Arabidopsis thaliana: one gene and its partners. The protein of the gene in region 2 interacts with the protein of the main gene of each other region in a pairwise test. Each region holds a gene or a part of one and is shown on either strand. Other genes may lie near its edges.

Region 1 (5,776 bases), on a different chromosome or scaffold from region 2:
AAGTACCATAAAGATGGATCAAATTGTTCCCAACATATACATCAAAATCAAACCCATGTTTCAAAACCTCAACTTGAATCTGTCTCCCAGCAGTGAGACCTAAAAACGAAGCACAAGCCTTGAGAAGAAAAGGAAAAGTGAGCTTATTAGGTTTGATTCCTCGTCTCTTCATCTCAGAGTAAACCCAAATCGATTCCACAGGAGAATCACTTGAAGAATAGCCTCTACTGAGCATATTCCAAGTAGAAGGAGTCGAATCTGAAGAGTGAAGCAGAAGGGTTCGCGCAAAGGCAAGGTCTTTGGCGAGGGATAGTGATGAAACCCGTACAAGCTCGCTGATGATAAAGCTGTCATTTTGGAGAGAGGAGAGATGGATTTGACCATGGATCTGTAGAAGGTGTTTAATTGAGGAACATAGCTTGAGGAAGATAAGACATTGGTGTTTCCTGGATTTGAAGCATGAATCTGAACTCCAAATCATTATGCCATTGGAGCTCTTAGAAATCGCAAAAAGTTTCAATTTTCAAATCGGTGATATATTTATAGATTTGGAACGGTTTTAACGGAACCGAAGTAAAATCAAAAGCTTATTCGGTTCGGTTTAATGTGAAATTGATATTTATCAACCAAAACATATCATCTTTACAAGGTCAGTAATATACAGAAGATTACACTTTCTCTCTGATTCTGAGATGGGTGTCAGAGGTTTTGGTTAGGAGGATCAATCTCTGATTAGAGTGTTGTTGTTTCCATTTCAAAGCTCTGATCATGAAAATTTCCTCCATGAATGTTCTTCTCGCTTCTAATCTCTGAGAACCAAAACCATGGTCGTGGGAAGATCCATGAATGATGTATCACAATCATGTGAGATGCAGATTCTGCAGAGCATGATTACAACTGTGAGTTCATGATCATGTTTCATGAAAACTAAAGGCTTTATATTAATATACTAACCAAATCAGGGAGGTGTTTATTAATCTGAATCTTCTTCACTCTCTTCTTCAGACTCGGAGCTAAGGAAACGAGCTGAGCTTCTGAGGGAAAATGATTTGTTACTCTTTGGAATCTTCGTTCTCTTTTGTTTTGTTGCAAAACCTTTCGCCACTAGTGTATCAAACAAATCTCCCATCTCCATTTTCTTTCTCAAACCATCATGTTCGTCCATGAACCTTCAGAACAATAAACATAAGACTGGGAAATATCAGATTCTAACACTAATAAAGACAATGTAAATATCAAAGGCCTGTTTCACTCGATAACATTCATTTGCTTGATCCGTTAGAGGAAACAACAGATGAATACTTCTATAGACAAGTGAAAACATCGATGCAGCAATAATTGGATCAAGCAACACCTTTCACGTATTGCTTTGAAGGCGTCTCTAGTTGCATAAGGAAGACCCGTTTTTGGATCCCGGTACCTGTATCAGCAATACACACAACAGCTAAGAACTAGTTCTAAAATTGCAGAGAAAAGATAATCAGGTTTCTAGGTTATAACATCATTTCTTTTCGAGAAGTATATATCAAAGAAACTGATAACTTCTTTTTAGTAGACCTAAGAGAGTCTACTTGTGTTCATCCCAGAGATCTTGTTCTTCCGATGAATAAAGAAGAAGAACAGAAAAACTCTTACTTGGCAGGTAATCCCGTAATCACACATACAGCTTTTTCTGGATCTGGAAAAGAGAAAACAAACCAAAAGAAAGACAGAGATCAGTATAGATCAATATGAACACATTTATGTTCATCTCCAAACACCACTCAAAATTACTTACAGGGAACAGACTTCGTCGACAACTCTGAATTGAATGACGCACCATTACAGAATTCTAAATAGTTACATCCTGCATGTAAAGTTAAAAGTTTAAACAAATATAGTTCTTACTTTTCTGGAAAGATCCAATTAGACTGGATTACTATTTTACTGGAGAGCTTACCATCTTTTGAATGATACCGAATCTGAGGACCCTTGTAGACTGCTTTATGCACAATCGCTTTCTTTTTTACTTCTTCTTCCCTTGCCAAGACACGTTCTAAATTCCTCAAGTTCATGATTTCTGCAAGAACCTGACTTTAGCAATTTTGAGTTTCTGATAGAGCAAATCAGATGCAGCATCATAAAAGCCAAACCTGTTTGAGCAGCTTCCAGCAGCATTTCTTCTTGGGTCATCCGTTTTTCCTCCCCTACTTTTTTCCTTTGTATTGGCTGAACAAACACAAAAAAGAATTCAACATGGCAAGACTTAGAAAAGAGATTAAAGTGTAGCCATGAATGTAAATAGCTAGTGGGGATGAGTTCTGAGAAACCTTTGTTGTTGCTTGTATAGCAGCACGCAATGCATCTCTTTCTGCTTGCCGTACAACCACTGAAGTCCGTGTTGATTTCCTAATGACTTTCTCACCTTCCATATCTTCTTGTGCTTCATTCTCTTCTTTTTCTTCTTGTTCCTTGTTTCCCAATTCTTCACCTGGCTTCTCATCTCCAGGAATATATTCTAGTTGTGAAACTACCTTCGTCTTCTTTTTCTTTTTCTTTGAAGCAGTTTTCCCAGGGTAAATCAGCCGCTTCTTTGGCAGATCCCTACAACAATATGCAAAATTGTAACAAAATTAAAACAGACACACATAATAGCCATCATAAGACAAGCTTTGAAAAAATTCAAACCTCAATTCTTTTTCATTTACAGCGACTGCATCAGGCTCAGGCTCCTAATCCCAAACAAAAGGCAAAAGAAAGAAATTAAAAAGAATGGAAATATAAGCAAAAACCTTGATGAATAAGTACTCAATACATAAGCAAGACATAAATACATCGTCATTGAAGTCACTGTCAAACTCATCAGCAACCTCACGTTCTGCTTCATATTCATCATCATGTTCTTCCTGCAGATAACAAAAGTAAAGAGATACATAAATGTCAGCAAACACACGAAAGTTTCTGCGATAGTATCTTGTCTACAAATCTGATTTTTTTCCATTATATATTTTGACATCTAGTCTACCTTAACAAATCATTAACATCTCTTTAAGAGAGTAAGCTATATATAAAACAAAACAAACCTCTTTAAGAGCTTCTTGATTCCAAAACTGTTCATCTTCTTCTACTTCGTCATCAAGCAACTTGGTCATCCTGAAAAAAAACAGAAAACTGATGAATAAAGCTTCCACAAGAGAGTTTCTGATACATCTCAATAACAGTGAGACAAAACCACAATCTTCAGGTGAAACACATTCATCAGGTAAAAGCTTAAGCTCAAGTAATTCTTACCGTTTACCCCGTGTTGCTCTTGTTGTACGGTCCAAGAACACCATTGGCTCTTCTTCATCGATTTCCATTGATAACTTGCTCAACTCTTACTTCTACAAGTTCACAAATTTAAACGAAAATGTCATAACACACAAATTAACAAATCAGCAAGGAACCCCCAAATTAGGGTTTCTCGCAATTTCAAGACTTTACGATTATATCGAGAGGGAAACAGGAACAAAAACCCAAAATTTGAGTGATGTACACAGTAATCGAAGAAGAGCCCATGAAAGCGAGAATGAAAAGTAATTTGTGTGATGAGCTTAAAATCTCGCTCGAGGAGTTACCTTCGGAAAATTTTAGGTTGGAGAAGTTTCTTCGACGAGCACACGTCTTCGCCGGCGACCGCCGCACCTCTTTGATTCACTCTTTCACACACGGTGCCGCTGGTTCGTACACCATTGTTATTGGACTTGAGATATTAATGGGCCTTCCACTTAGACATTTTCAAAGCCCATATTATATTAGAAGATTCTTTTTGTAAAATAAAACTTACAATGATAGACCGCTGGGGAAAAACGTTTTATTTTTATTTTTATTAATGACCTTGAGTAATTTCTTTTTACACTGGCATATATAAAATTTTAAATTAAATTTACGATGAAAAATCGTAACGTAAATAATACCAAAAAAGAAAGATGTTAAGATATATAAATCGGTTAACAAAATTGTCCAGAAATGGTAATATCATAGATAGATTTCAATTTTCAAGTCATGCATGATGTCATTTTGGATATAACACGAGTTGTCAACTTGTCATGATCGAGAAAGCAAAAGTAAACAAACAAAAAGTGTTTCTACACTCCTCTAAACTCCAAGGAGCAAGCAATATCGAAGTTGCGATCTCATGCAGGACCACTGGAGAAGGTTTCTACACTCTTCTAAAGCTACAGAAAAAAAAAAAGTATATAAGAAATTGTGTTTTTTTCTTCAATTTGAGTGTACGAATTCGAATGCTTAATAAGTATGTACTAACTAAGATGTTAGTATAAGATTCGATAATAGAGACAATTTCAAATAAAACTATCATAAATTGTTCTTGAACAAAGAGAAGTAATCGAGAACAAACGTCACAATCATTTTTTTTGGGTAATACAAAAGAAAAGTTACAATCTAAGAAAAGTTACAATCATTTCTTGGGTTGTTCTAATTGCATTATGTCTTGTAGCAAGAATGTGATGTTGGAATGAGAAGAGCCTCCTTCTTCCACAGCCTTGTGAGCTAATTCTCCAAGCTCTTTCACTCTTTTTCTTCTCTCCTTAGCATCATTACTATCACCCATCAATTCCTCCACTGCCTTCTTTACTCCTTCTTTATCCACCAGTACTCCTATTTTCTCCTCTTCTCCCCATCTCATGGACTCTTCAACCCCAGCTCTCACACCGGCTTTTAGTATCTGCACCGCCAATTTCTCATTGCAGAATTGGTCTCCAAACAGTGGCCACGTGAGTAATGGAACGCCTGAAGTGATTCCTTCAAGAGTAGAGTTCCATCCACAATGTGTCAAGAATCCTCCAACGGCAGGATGTGTAAGGATAAGCATTTGAGGCGACCATCCTGTTATGAGAAGGCCTCTTTCTTTGATTCTTTCCTTATAACCGCTCTCTGAGATCCATTCAAGTAACTCGTTATACTTCTCCCAACCTCTTATGACCCAAATGAAAGGTCTTTGGGATTCCTCGAGGCCTAAGCCGAGCTCTTTGAGCTGAGACAGAGGAAGATTGCATATACTTCCAAGGCAAACATATAGCACCGACCCTTCTTCTTTAGAATCAAGCCATTTAATACACTCGTCTTGATCAATGTCCGCCTTGTTTCCCCTCTCAGCTTGGTCTTCTCCTAACTTGTTGCACAAGGAAACCGGTCCGATGCTCCATATCTTACCCGCTTTAACCTTCTTGTAGTCTCTAACATAAGCTGGCTCGAGCTCTTCAAACGTGTTAACAATCACACCATAAGAAGTGTTATCCCCTTCTGTCATTCCGTCAAGGAAGTCTTTCCAATCTCCAGCAACTAATACCATTGGAAGCTGAGATTTTGTGAACTCAACTCTGTCAGGGAAATTAGGAATGGGGAAGTATTCCTTGTCAGACTCTATAGTTTCCAAGAACTCGTGGTTTTGGTGCATTATGTGCGTACAAAGAAGATTGAAGCAACACATGCCATGAAAGATGATTTTTGGTATACCAAGATTCTTGGCAATTCTGTTTGTATAAGGCAAACACATGTCAGCGATTATGCAGTTTGGCCTAGGTTGAATCTCTTTCAAGAGCTTCTCGACTGGTTCCTCGAGCAGGCTAAATGCTTTGAAGAAGGTTAATGAAGCCCCCAATGAATCGAGCAAGTCCAAATTCTCCTGTCCTTCCGGTGAACCCGATTCTTGAGATGGAAACTTTACTTGCACGAGATTGATGGGCAAGCCGGATTGGATAGCCCGGCTAAGAACGTTCTTGAACCGGCCTGCGTT
Region 2 (3,857 bases):
TTTGATCCCCAACGAGCCAGAAGAAGCTAATGAAGTAGTCTCTCTTTCGACAGAGCAAGAAAGCGATGAAGAGAGTATCCACGACGAGAAAATCTCAAGAAGAAAGTCTTTACTATCCGAAAACCGATTTGTGACATTAACTCTAACACCTTATACAATCCAAAGTTCTCTACTGGTACGTTTCATCATTCCAAGCCATTGTCTTTTAACAGTCTATAGAATGAGAATCTTTTGTGTGAATCTATGTTTCAGCGTCTTCCGGTTCCTTTCACGAGGATGAATGGTATCAATGAAGAAACTAAAATGACTCTGTTGGATAAACATGGTGTGAAGTGGTTAACGACTCTGCGGTTCGAGGACGACAAAAGAAAAAGACTACGAATGGTAGGAGGATGGCAAGGATTCATCCAAGCTAACGATGTGAAGGCAAACGAATCCATCATGTTGGAACTGATTTGGGAAGAAGAAACAAGTTGCGTCCTTAAGTTCTGCTCCAAGGTGAAGCTAGAAATCAAATGAAACTCTATATTGAAATGAATCAATGTTTGACTCTTTTATTTGGTAAGATATAACTCTTAAGGTTTCATTGTCTTAGAGAGTAAGAACAAAAACCATTTTTCTTTTAATCTTCTACATTGTTAATATCTTGGATAATATTACAAGACACACACACACTCTTACTTATACTACTTCACTACACTCTTAGGCACACACACAAGCATGCCTTAAAGCACATTATTAACCCTAGACTCTAGACTCTTGCACAAGCCACTCTACTACATTGGCTCTTGTGGATACTTGAGTAAAAAGTGGAATATCTTACAAACACTTGCCCAAGTAGAAGAAAGACAGGATCCAAAGATAAATACACTGAACAGACTAGAGCTTATGACTTACTAAGAACCTAAACAACACCAAATGCTACAAGGGCATATTGGTTTCATCTAACTATCATTAGCTGCCTCTGCAAGCTTGGCGGAAAATCTAAGCTTCTTGATATTGAATCTTGTTTCCTCAACACATAACGCTTTCCATTCATCACTCAACTCTCTTCTTTTACCATTTCCAAGGTTCATCAGCTTCTCAAGCTGCAACTTCTTTTGATAACCACTTAAACCTTGCGACATCACCGCCTCAAATGCATCCTGCACCGCGCATAACTCATCATCATCATCATTGTCCTCATCATGTCTCTCTTTTCCACTACTAGTCCCATTCTCTGTTGTTTTGGCTGCCCCATTCTCATTTAAAAGTTCAGTATTAGCCACTTCCTCCTCGTGCTCCTTCAACATCTCCTCCCCGCTCTCGTTAGTCCGGTTTTCCGCTGCACCATTTCCGTTTACCTCGTGCTCCTTATCCATACCATCATCATCACCTTGTCCCCAAATCATCGAAGAAAACCCAAAGGCTTCAGAATCACTAGACCTAGTAAATTTGGGATCATTCCCTTGATTGATTTTCTCCGAGTGAACATGAAACCTCCTTTTCAACTTCCTGATTTTACTCAAAACCTGATCCTTGGAGAATCTCTCAACGATAGAACTTCCGAGGAAACTACAAAACGCATCCCAATCAATTTTGGGATTGAATCCTGTCTTAGCTCTGTAATCAACTAACCCCTGAGCAATTTCGAAAATCTGGTTTTAGAAAATCACAATGCAAAACCAAATCAAACTATAAATGGAGAAGATCAATACAATACCTTTAAGATAGAGAGCTCATCTTCCTCGTTCCAGATCCGGACGATCAACGGCGGATCCAATTTCTTCTTCTTCTTCTTCATCTTCATCTTCTTCTTCATAGTCTCTTCTTCTGCGACGGAAGCAGCACGCTTTGAGGAAGGAATATTCCGTGGAGATCTTCGATGGGAGAGGGTACCGTTGGAGTTATCAGCACCAACACAGGAAGAGAAATCGATCTGCTTCGGAGTCACCATGCTTATTGCTTGCTTTAGACTTGCTGATTCTAGGGCGCATGCAGAGCAGTGATTCCCAATCTTCACGACCTTTAAAAAGTGAAACCCGAGAGAAAAAGAAAAGCAAAATAGGATGAGTAACACTTGGCCATACTTTTCTCAACATTCATAACAAAACAAACACTTTCATCTTTTTTTCTACTGTTTAATATTCATCAATAGTACAATTTTGCTCTTGCAAAAATCTATCATTTTAGTCACTTAATAGTATAAAATATTTTATCTACCTTTTTTATATAATAAATTAAAATTTAGTTTTTTCTACATTTTAAGATTCATTGCTGATATATTTTAAGTAAATAATTATATTATATATTATCCATTTCTGATTGAATATTTTTTTATTATTAAATAGATATTAAAAGGTATTTGAACAAAACATATTACACGATAAATTAATAAATTTTGTCGGTCTCAAATCGGGGTAATGTAAAAATTAACCAAAATCGATAAGATAATAAGATAATATTTTTTTTGAAATCCCTATGTAAAAATATGGTACCAGTAATATCATAAAATTAATAATCATAAATCTTTAGCATACATTCAAAGACTAATTTTATATGAAACTTTTGTTCAAGTCATAATTGCAACTCTTTCTAGAGTATAGTTGGTGTGATCTCTTTTGTATTCACATAACTCTTTGCGTATTTGATCCGTCATATTTGGTTTTGTAACTTTTTTTATATGAAAAATCATTGTTAAGATTTGTGTAATAAAAAATTGGATTAAGTCTCACGTTAACGTCGTATACATGCACAATATCTTACAGAGAAAAAATAAAAAAAGTAATAAAAAAAAATCTAACAGAATATACAAACAATAAAACATAAAGAAAAACTAAATTAAAATTTTTCTTTTTAAAAAATTAATATTGTATTTTACGTATAAATTTTTATAAATTAATAAATGTACTACTATCATAGTAACACCTACAAACTGATATGCATATATACACAAATGAGAGTTAACACTATATATATATCGATTGTACCTTGTGTAGTGGAACACTTTATTGTTGTAAATACATAATCCTCAACTATTAGTGTCTATGTATGTCAAACAAATGAAACAATGAAAGCAATCCAAATTAAATGAACAGATTACAATGTAAAATGCCTTCATCCATCTCCGCCATTAGCATGATAGGAACTTGTACTCGATTTCGAGATCCAAGGAATATTACAAAAGGAACGTAACCGTGCTTCTTTATGATCTTCACCACCTCAAGAAGGACCTCTTGTTATATTGTATAGCTCCTCTTTTCCCTGAGACAAATGACCACAATTCTAATGTAAAAAGATCACATCAAGCGACACAATACTCCATCGGTCAAAGATCATTCTTTTAGCCAAAACTTCATTGATTAAGGCTTTGAATGGGAGGGAAGCAGAAAAAATACATGTTTACCTTTGCATATAGTGCTCCTATTATCAAGACATTATTTCTGTATTTTCCTTTTTGTTTTAATATTTAGAGTTAAGATTTCTGTTATTTAAAAACAGTTGATCTATGCATGCAGTCCTTCTCTTACCAAGACATCATTCATGTATTTTTATTTTTGTTTTAACATAACATTTTTGTTATTTAAAATCAGTTGACATGTGCATGTAGTGCTTATGTTACCAATACATCATTTATGTATTTTTATTTCATATTTTATTATTTAAAATCAGTGTATCTTTCTATGTATTCCTCCTATTACCAAGACACTATTCATGTATTATCATTTTTATTTTAATATTTATTTTAAGATTTTGTTATTTAAAATCAGTTGACATGTTTATGTAGTGTTCCTGTTACCAAGACACCATTTATGTATTTTATTTTTTATTTAATATTTATAACTAAGATTTATGTTATTTAAACAACAGTTGACTTG
Region 3 (3,916 bases), on a different chromosome or scaffold from region 2:
AGATCTTGACCACCGATAAAACAAGAGAAGAAAGTTGATTTTTGGGTTTGAATAAAGTGGTTTCAATTTTCATTAGGCCAAAAAGTAAAAACTTAATAGGCTCAAGTTTGTAAAATAAACTTCTAATTTGTGATGATCACTCTTGTGATGTGTTATGTGTTAAACTCCAAACGTTTTTGAATGATTGTATGTGTTGACTTTTAACAGTGTATGCGTTGACTAAGTGATGTACAGTAATGAGACGGGGAAAATCATACTAATATTTCCTTCCGACAACTTTATCTGTACTATGCATAGTACTTTTGAGACAACTTTATCTGAATTTTGTATAGTATACTTTTGGGTTGTGATATATTTTCTCGTTTGATTTTTCTTTTCAACTAAATAATATGCAAACCAAATCCGCTTTCGCCATAAGAAAACAACTAAAAGGTTAAATTTACCCGAGAGTGTATTAATGTTGAATAGCCATATAGGCTATAGTATGTATATGGCTGAAAATAGCTTATGCGATTTCTTGAAGAGAGAGAAAAGGTTAAATCCGAGAGTGTTTTACTCATCAATGTCATTGTCATTCTACATATACAACGTAACAAAGAAAAGCGAGAAAAACTTAATCCGACGAGTCACCAAGGTCAAAACACCTAACACCCACTTATACACTCATTACGTGGAAACATAAAAGATATACTACCAATCATCCTGCTCCTGCACTAACAATCATCTCGATGATTATGAGAGTAGGGTAACGAGGGAAACGAATTCAAGGGTAACTCTTCCCTTTGATCTCGTGTTGATGACGAAATGCTCCGGGTATTTTCTCAGCAGCATCAGCAAACCGTACCATGGTTTACCTTTTGCTTCAGGGATAGCCCAGTCTTCTTGTGATAGGTATCTTCTTACTCGACTGTGATGCCATACGTTTCCATACTCCTTTAATATCTGTCACAGACCAACCACTACCATGCATTAGCTGCAAAAATTGTTGATCATCAGCTTCACGATCTGCCTTTGATCTTCCCTCTCTCTTCTTCTCTGCACAAATGAAGCAGATACAATGTCGTGGTGTCACTATCATTCAATCTAAGTCTAACAAGGTTCAATCATCAACCACCACAGTAAAACTTATACTCAAAGTCTAGAACAAGCCTGAAATCTATTTAGTGACACAATGAAGTTAAGCTATCATGAGCAATTTGGTTTTACCTCCAGAGGCATATACTCCTTCATGTCCATCTCTCCATGTTTTCTTTCCACTGCCTCTGATATCCTCCTCTTCATCGTCGTCTTCATCATCGTACTCATACAACTCTCTACTCCGGACGCCATTCTTACCCGACCCGGAACCTGGACCCGAATGATAATTATGGTACGGAACAACAGTAGCCTTCCCTAAGACGTGGTGCCTGGGTCCCAATGGACCGCCTAGGATACTCCAAACCGGAAGCAGGAAGTAGAACTCCTTGTCACCAATCTGCAAAAGGTCCTGTGAATCGAGCTTGACGTTGGGGTTCCCAGGGAGATGGAGGACACCTTCAACGAAGCAGCCATTTTTGCCAAGTACCTCGAGAGAGAAGCGTCGTCTAGTGAAGTCATAGAAGATCCGAGCGTGGTTGCGAGAAATGTTCATCCCACCGCCGAGAGATGAGAGGTCGACGTCGACGGTCGATTTCTTAGAATTCCGGCCGAGAATAATGGAGTAAGACTGCATATAGTACTCGAAATCCTCACCTTGGAGCTTCGCAAATCCAACCTCTACATCGCTCCCGCTTCCAACGGCTGTAGCCATGCCGTGAAATTTCTCCGATTTTGAAGTCGGAGATCAAATTTGGGGTTACATAGTAATAGAATGTGTTTGGAAACCGGTTTAGATATGTTGTGGTTAAACCGTACAATGAAAAATATAAAGGCTTCTCAAGTAAATGACTATTATACCCATCATGTTTTCAGCCTCTCCACTGTCAATGTTACGGGCCTTACGGCGATCAAATCAAAACGGGCAGTTTGTTTCCACGGCTAACAAAAGAAACAGCTTTAGTTGGGCCTTATCTAAAAAGCATCAGCCCATTAACGTGAACCGGATCTTATGTACATAAACCCAGTAGTATGTAATATTCGGGGATAAGCATGACATTGACATGAATATGGATCATGTGATAACCGTAAGGCTTGAAATTATGATGATAAAATATGATGAAAAGTTCATAAGAATATCGTCACATTTTTGTCAAAGAAATAGCAAAGTCAAGAATGGTTTTCTTTTTCTAGAATCTTTGCTTTACATTTTGTTAAACATTTAATCAACCGAAAAAATCACAACGAGAAAAGAACATTTGCTATATTCCACAGTGTATTCGCAGAATCTTCCTTTGTTTTTCTTGTCAACAATTCAAATAGTCTCAATCCTCTTTCCACTTTCCAGGTGCAATTCATGCAAGAGTAAGGCTGGAACTTGTGATAGCCAAGCTATAATAAAGCAACTTCAACAAGCTATTCCACTATTCGAATAAAGACACGAGTCATCTATCTACTCAACATAATTCTTTACAGCCATTTGTCATCTAGCACGTGCCCATGAAGCCAGCCAAACATGAACCACGTCGACACACATCAGATGAGAATAACCGTTACGGCGTCATTTGCTGACCTGGACTGTCTAACCTATTGCACTGTCTCTCGAAGATGGTCGCCACATGTCAATCCCGGGGTCGTGTTTATGCTCGAGATTCGCGGAGTCAGATACGAACACAAGAATTCAAAACACCCAACGTGTCCTCGTCAAAGCCAGCAGGATCTCAGTGTACACGTGTTAACTGTTTCCATGCACGTGTTACACGTGGCGTCTCGGTACTTTTCGTCAAAATTTTACTTGATTTTTACAACCAATGGAAATAGAAACCAACAAAATAAATGGAAAGCGTTTATCGATAATCCGAAATTGTAGCGCTAATAAAGTTTCTTAACCTTTCTCTTAGTGAATTTTGAAACCGCCCATGTCCACTATCCTTATCGGACATGTGTCATGTTCCGAAGCCTTTACCATTCTCTTTTTAATTATCTCCGCCCCTTATAATATTCCTTTCTCATACAACAAAGTTGGCGAAGCTTCAAAACCCTTCAAGAGGAAAATTTTGCGGAAGACAAGAGACCATCTTTTTGACATTATATGTTTGTTGAATCTTTATCAATGGCAGAAAAGTTTGTAGAAGATGAGAATGTGGAGGTCGAGCTCGAGCTCGAGCTATGTCTTTCCCTGGGAGGTCCTTTCAAGAAAACGGAGAAATCTAAAACATTTGGACAATCTAACGCCGTCGGATTCGAGAAGGATAACGGCGTTAATCTTGACGGCAGAACGACGAATGTGACGAGGATAAAGGAAACACGGAAGAAGCGGGAGGCGAAGCAGCAGCAGAGAAGCGGAGAAGAAGGAGAGTGCAAGAGGATCAGAACAGAATATAACGGAGTTAGTAACGGCGATGATATGGATTTGAGCTCTATCAACATGTGTAACGGTTACGGGTCGGGTCGACTCAAGGAAAGCAGTAAAGACGTTACGATTGGGTCACCCATTTGCACCTCCTCCTCCGTATCCGATCCTAGCAGCTCTTCTCGCCAAGAAGGTATATAACAACCTTCTTTTAAAAATAAACTAAAATTGGTTGGTATATGTATATAGTTTTTTTTTAGTATATAATTCGATGTGTTGATTCTGTTAAAGAATCACGAAAATTATGCTATTTGCATGTAGATGATTTTGAATTATGGTTAATGTTCAGGTGGAAGTGGCGACATTGGGGCACAATCTGGCCAAACCAAACAGGTTAGATCTCCGGTTAACAACATTCTGACCGGTACAGAGCAAACCGTGCATAACACAGACGGTTCAAAAGACGCGGAGACCCAAGAATGGTCCAAC
Region 4 (4,536 bases), on a different chromosome or scaffold from region 2:
TTGGTATTCCTCTTTTGGTTCTTGGGAACAAGATTGACATACATGGAGCTCTTTCCAAAGAAGCCTTGACAGAAGAAATGTATAGCTCTTTATTCATCTGAACACTCCAAAAACAGCACTAAAGGCATCTCATTTAGCTCGATCTGATTATGCTTCTTGCCTTGTTTTTGTTGCAGGGGGCTTAGTTCGGTTACAAGTAGAGAAGTCTGCTGTCTCATGATATCCTGCAAGAACCCTACCACCATTGATCAGCTCACTGATTGGCTTGTAAATCACTCAAAATCAAAGAACTAAACTTCAACAAGAACATCATATGTTCTCTCTTCTTGATCTTCTTACTCGTCCTCTGTTGTCTGGTTAATGATGATGATGAGTCTTGAACTAATTTCGCGTGAAACAAGAGTTTGTCTTTATTTGTCTTCTGTCTCACCTGCTGGTCTGGTCTGGTCTAGTTTGCTCAAGAGGTTGTTTTCTATTCTTAAGGCTTTGCAACAAAAACATAAGTGTCTCAATTTTTCAACTTCTAAAAATCCAAGGAAACGGAAATAAGCTCTGTATACAAATCAAAGGCCTTATTTATATCTTTTCAAACCAGTTTCAAAATGGTTCACGAGAAACCTGTGAAGTTACTAACAAAACCAGATCAACAGAAGCAAGAGAAGGAACAGGTTTTACATAATCATCTGAGTTAGAAGACACTGTTACTGACTAAAAACACTGCGGCGATTGTAAAATGTTGATTTCGATGCAAGATCGAAACTTGACATAACATGAAGAATTGAAGATATATCAACCGATACAACATCAATGATTTTCTTAATTCTTACCGAGTTTGGCTATGCATTCTATACTTCACAGCTTTCATCGCCGCTTTTGCAAAAATATGGGCAGCTTCAGCTTCGGCTTCTGCTTTATCTGCCTCTCTTGCTGCTTCTTCAGCTTCTGCCATTGCAAATTCTGCTTCTGCCACAGCTCTTGCAGCTGCTGCAGCAGCTTCTTTTTCTGTCATACCCATTATCATAACTTCTCCACCTACTTGGGATTTAGTAAGATTTTTGACGCCATTCTCCTCCGGTTTCGGAGTGTTTTCCTTGTTTCCTTCCAACAAGAGTTGAGGAGACCTTTGTCCTTCTCCTTCAGCCATATAATTCTGAGAAATCCTGTATTTGTGCTTTTTCTGAAAGGTGAGAACAAACGCAAGAAAACCATTGTTAAGTCAGTGCTAAATTTGTGACATTTGCAAGAGGAAATTTCGATCAAAGTATCTCTCTTTATACCTTAACTAATGTTCCAACATTTGTCAAATACTTCAGCCTTGAAGTCACAAGCCGTTTCATATCCGGTTGCATCTTGAAATTCTCCTGAAAATTTACAGCAACACTAAGACCTTGATGATTGTATATAGATGCAGTAAGCAATGCTTAACTATTTACAGACACAACGAATAAACACAGAAGGAAAACTTCATTGTACCTCTATATACATCAAGATCGACTTTCCGTCAGGACCAAATGGTCTCTTCAAGCTGGTAATAGCCTCCAATATAATCTTATCCACACTACAACAAACACATTAAAACAAGCCTATTATATTCCTCACTATTCCCATATTCCACATTCACAGCATCAAGAATTCATACAAATACAAGAAGAGAGACCAAACCTTGTAGAAGGTCTTGGAGGTTCACAAGAACCTGCAGGAGGAGATGGTGCATCAATCTGTTGTCCTCCTACATCACCATTAGCTAAAGACACAATGGTAATAGCTGTAGCGTTATCGTCTTGCCTACTACCCGACAAAGGAGTTCTTTTAAGAGCAAGCTTAGCCTTCTTCCTAGATCCCCATAAAGCTGTTACACTTATATTTCTCCATTTGTCCTGTAGACAACAACAATAGTATAAGTTTCGAACTTTTCTATAATCTCTCTTCACTTTAAAGTTGTTGATGTTTTTACCTTGAGATCCACATTAGAACGAGACTTCAGAATTGTGCTATACACAGGATCTGAGAGAATGGTACGCCATTTTCCAGTTCCATGTTTAAGTACTCCAGCTTTAAGAGCTGTTTCTTCTTCTGGTGTCCACTTCAGCTTTGGAGCTCCCATTCACACAATTTTATCACAAAATTCAAAAATTCTATAGAAACACACACACACACACAACAAACACTTCTAATGTCTCGACTTCAATTCTCTGTGAACAGATGAAAACATCACAAAGATCAATACTTTATAATGAAATCCCCAAGTTTTTCAATTGCATTAGTAATTCAATAGAAACGCCAGAGATTACGAAGACACGCACGAGAAAAAGATTAAAGCTTTCGATCAGGGAAATGGGGAAATTAACAAGGAGAAGAAGAGGAAGAAGAAGACATGCCTGAGAAAGCTGAAGGGAATGAGAGAGGAAGCTATGGAGAGTGTCATGGATCAAAGTTTGAAATCTAAAAATTGTGGCATGAGACAGAGGAAGAGAAGACACAAAAATTTGACCTTTAATCTTTCGATTCACCTACGCATGTTGGAGGATGAAGTATGTATCGATTTTGAGGTGCTTTACTGGGAGCCCTTTATTATCTTCATTTTTACAAATTCGTCTTAAACTTTATAATTGCAAAAATACACCCATTTGATCTATTAGGGATTAATTTATGAAATTAAATTAACAATGCGAGTAAAAGCAAAGTAGAAATTAGAGTAAACAAGAGATTCAAGAAAAATGATTTTTGAGAGTAAACTTGACAATTACAAGAGATTTTTTAGTAATATAATAAATTTAGGGTTTTCGAAAATAGAATTACGGATTTTTTGTTTGGTCATCGAGCTTCTTATTTTTCGGATGGGAATATGTCTAATATTCTTTACCGTATTATTTCTTAAGATTTGAGTGAATCTTTCCTTATCTTCATGGAGGTCGATGCCGAGCTCATCGACTTTTAGTTCTTGGACTGATTTCACAATTCAGTCATATCATTTTGGTGTATTTTTGGTTTGAACCGAGTTAATCGGTGGATACTAAACCACTCTCTTACATTAAATATAAGAAGTGAAGACTCAAGATTATATACGATTTAGTAGTATTTTTATAAAAATTTGTACATTGAATAGTTGATCAACCGAGGAATGGTGGATGTGACATATATGTTTGAGACGGAAAATGGAAATATATCGGACCGTAAGTATAAATTTATATAAGTTTGATGGTAATGCTAAGTTTTGATCACGTTGATACAGTCACTTCTTCTTACATTTTTGATGAGAAAGAGAACAAAATTGGGTTGCTTTCTTTTTTTGTGTTCCTCTAGTTGGAAAGAATGAATGGCTTTTATACAAAAGATAAAACACACATATACAAAAGATGGGTAACATACCCTGAATCAATCAATAGTCATGAAAGTAAACAAGACCTCAAGTCAAATTCGGATTCATTCATAAAATTAAAGAAAATTAAAGAAACAAACCCAAAACGTGGACACACATAACCAGAAGAAGAGATCTAAAATGTATATCAAACACGTCTTTTTAACATGTTTGACAAAATTGAATAGCATCCTCAAGACGGTCAACGGCAAATATCAGCTCATCTTCCGATCAAAAGCAAGCTTCCAAGAGAACGCAACAGCAGAGCATAGCCAAACTGTAATACAAAACAAATACACATTTTATAAGTACCAAACATATAGACTTTGAATATCCATATTACTCCATACCAAAATTTATGAATAATGAACCAAAAAAAGGTATATCATCAGCTTCAAGTATTCAAAACTATATGTTAATATAAAAAGAGAGAGATAATTGGTCAACGCACCATCCTTCCATGAAGCCTCCTGAATCCTTCTTATCTTTCTTATTTTTCGGTGGAGCCTGACCATAATGCGGTGGTGGAGGACCTTGATAAGGATATTGTGGTGGATGACCTTGAGGATATTGCGGTGGAGGATAGCCTTGTGCTGGATATCCTTGACCGTATCCTTGCTGCGGTGGAGGATAACCTGCTGGAGGATATCCCGCTTGAGGATATTGTGGTGGAGGATAACCTGCTGGTGGAGGATACCCTGCTGGTGGATATCCTTCCTTAGGAGGATACCCTGACAAAACAACAACATCGAAACTTAAGAAACAAGAAACAAAAATACCCTAAAAACTTGGAAAAAATTGGGAATTACCTTGAGGAGGAGGAGCACTAACGGGATGTTGTGGGTCTTGATAAGACATCTTCTTCTTCTTCTCTGTTATGCTCTTATCTGAGGGTTTATTTCTTTCTTTATAACGAACTCTTTGCTTCTTTTTCTTCGCTGTGAATGGAATAATAATAGGGTTAGTGACAATGATGATGGATAATAAAGGAGGTTTAGGAGACAAGAGACATGTTCTCTCCAAGGACTACTCTTAGATTTTAATGATTTTTAAATATAACTAAGAAAACTTACATGTGATATAGATGACCAACTCATATTTGTGGAACTGGAATCATTCAAATTAAATTGCTATTGAAATTTCAGCCGTTAAATAACAAAAAGATGACTTTATTTATT

What was found.
Region 1: the proteins of AT4G00270 (region 2) and SWC2 interact in a two-hybrid assay, tested with the Arabidopsis thaliana proteins (one large-scale study listed by BioGRID).
Region 3: the proteins of AT4G00270 (region 2) and AT3G07260 interact in a two-hybrid assay, tested with the Arabidopsis thaliana proteins (one large-scale study listed by BioGRID).
Region 4: the proteins of AT4G00270 (region 2) and TRB3 interact in a two-hybrid assay, tested with the Arabidopsis thaliana proteins (one large-scale study listed by BioGRID).

What each region holds. Positions count from the first base shown.
Region 1 is NC_003071.7:15,406,093-15,411,868, forward strand, and holds SWC2 (DNA binding protein SWC2), read right to left. Parts: upstream 3,821-5,776; 5' UTR 3,597-3,820; intron 3,363-3,596; 5' UTR 3,339-3,362; coding exon 3,271-3,338; intron 3,133-3,270; coding exon 3,063-3,132; intron 2,886-3,062; coding exon 2,814-2,885; intron 2,712-2,813; coding exon 2,668-2,711; intron 2,584-2,667; coding exon 2,310-2,583; intron 2,209-2,309; coding exon 2,133-2,208; intron 2,060-2,132; coding exon 1,940-2,059; intron 1,847-1,939; coding exon 1,778-1,846; intron 1,679-1,777; coding exon 1,636-1,678; intron 1,421-1,635; coding exon 1,355-1,420; coding exon of another isoform or gene 1,279-1,354; exon of another isoform or gene 1,170-1,278; coding exon 974-1,169; 3' UTR 955-973; intron 879-954; 3' UTR 530-878; downstream 1-529. Other genes in the region: AT2G36730 (Pentatricopeptide repeat (PPR) superfamily protein), read right to left, coding at 1-481; UGT73C1 (UDP-glucosyl transferase 73C1), read right to left, coding at 4,439-5,776. UniProt on the Arabidopsis thaliana protein: Component of the SWR1 complex which mediates the ATP-dependent exchange of histone H2A for the H2A variant H2A.F/Z leading to transcriptional regulation of selected genes (e.g. FLC) by chromatin remodeling.
Region 2 is NC_003075.7:116,533-120,389, forward strand, and holds AT4G00270 (DNA-binding storekeeper protein-related transcriptional regulator), read right to left. Parts: upstream 2,112-3,857; 5' UTR 1,937-2,111; coding exon 1,703-1,936; intron 1,620-1,702; coding exon 945-1,619; 3' UTR 553-944; downstream 1-552. Other genes in the region: MEE45 (Transcriptional factor B3 family protein), read left to right, coding at 1-175, 220-519. UniProt on the Arabidopsis thaliana protein: DNA-binding protein, which specifically recognizes the GL1 enhancer sequence. May be involved in leaf initiation. May play redundant roles with GPL1 and GPL2 in cytokinin responses by regulating the transcript levels of type-A ARR response genes.
Region 3 is NC_003074.8:2,307,577-2,311,492, reverse strand, and holds AT3G07260 (SMAD/FHA domain-containing protein), read right to left. Parts: upstream 1,885-3,916; 5' UTR 1,790-1,884; coding exon 1,207-1,789; intron 1,036-1,206; coding exon 863-1,035; 3' UTR 510-862; downstream 1-509. Other genes in the region: AT3G07255 (nuclear transport factor 2/RNA recognition motif protein), read left to right, coding at 3,167-3,620, 3,777-3,916. UniProt on the Arabidopsis thaliana protein: May play a role in the control of plant organ development. Does not show transactivation activity in yeast.
Region 4 is NC_003074.8:18,487,019-18,491,554, reverse strand, and holds TRB3 (telomere repeat binding factor 3), read right to left. Parts: upstream 2,563-4,536; 5' UTR 2,379-2,562; exon of another isoform or gene 2,193-2,378; 5' UTR 2,105-2,192; coding exon 1,955-2,104; intron 1,878-1,954; coding exon 1,663-1,877; intron 1,559-1,662; coding exon 1,474-1,558; intron 1,362-1,473; coding exon 1,278-1,361; intron 1,178-1,277; coding exon 824-1,177; 3' UTR 559-823; downstream 1-558. Other genes in the region: ARLA1B (ADP-ribosylation factor-like A1B), read left to right, coding at 1-79, 177-294; WIH3 (cysteine-rich TM module stress tolerance protein), read right to left, coding at 3,590-3,635, 3,810-4,089, 4,168-4,216.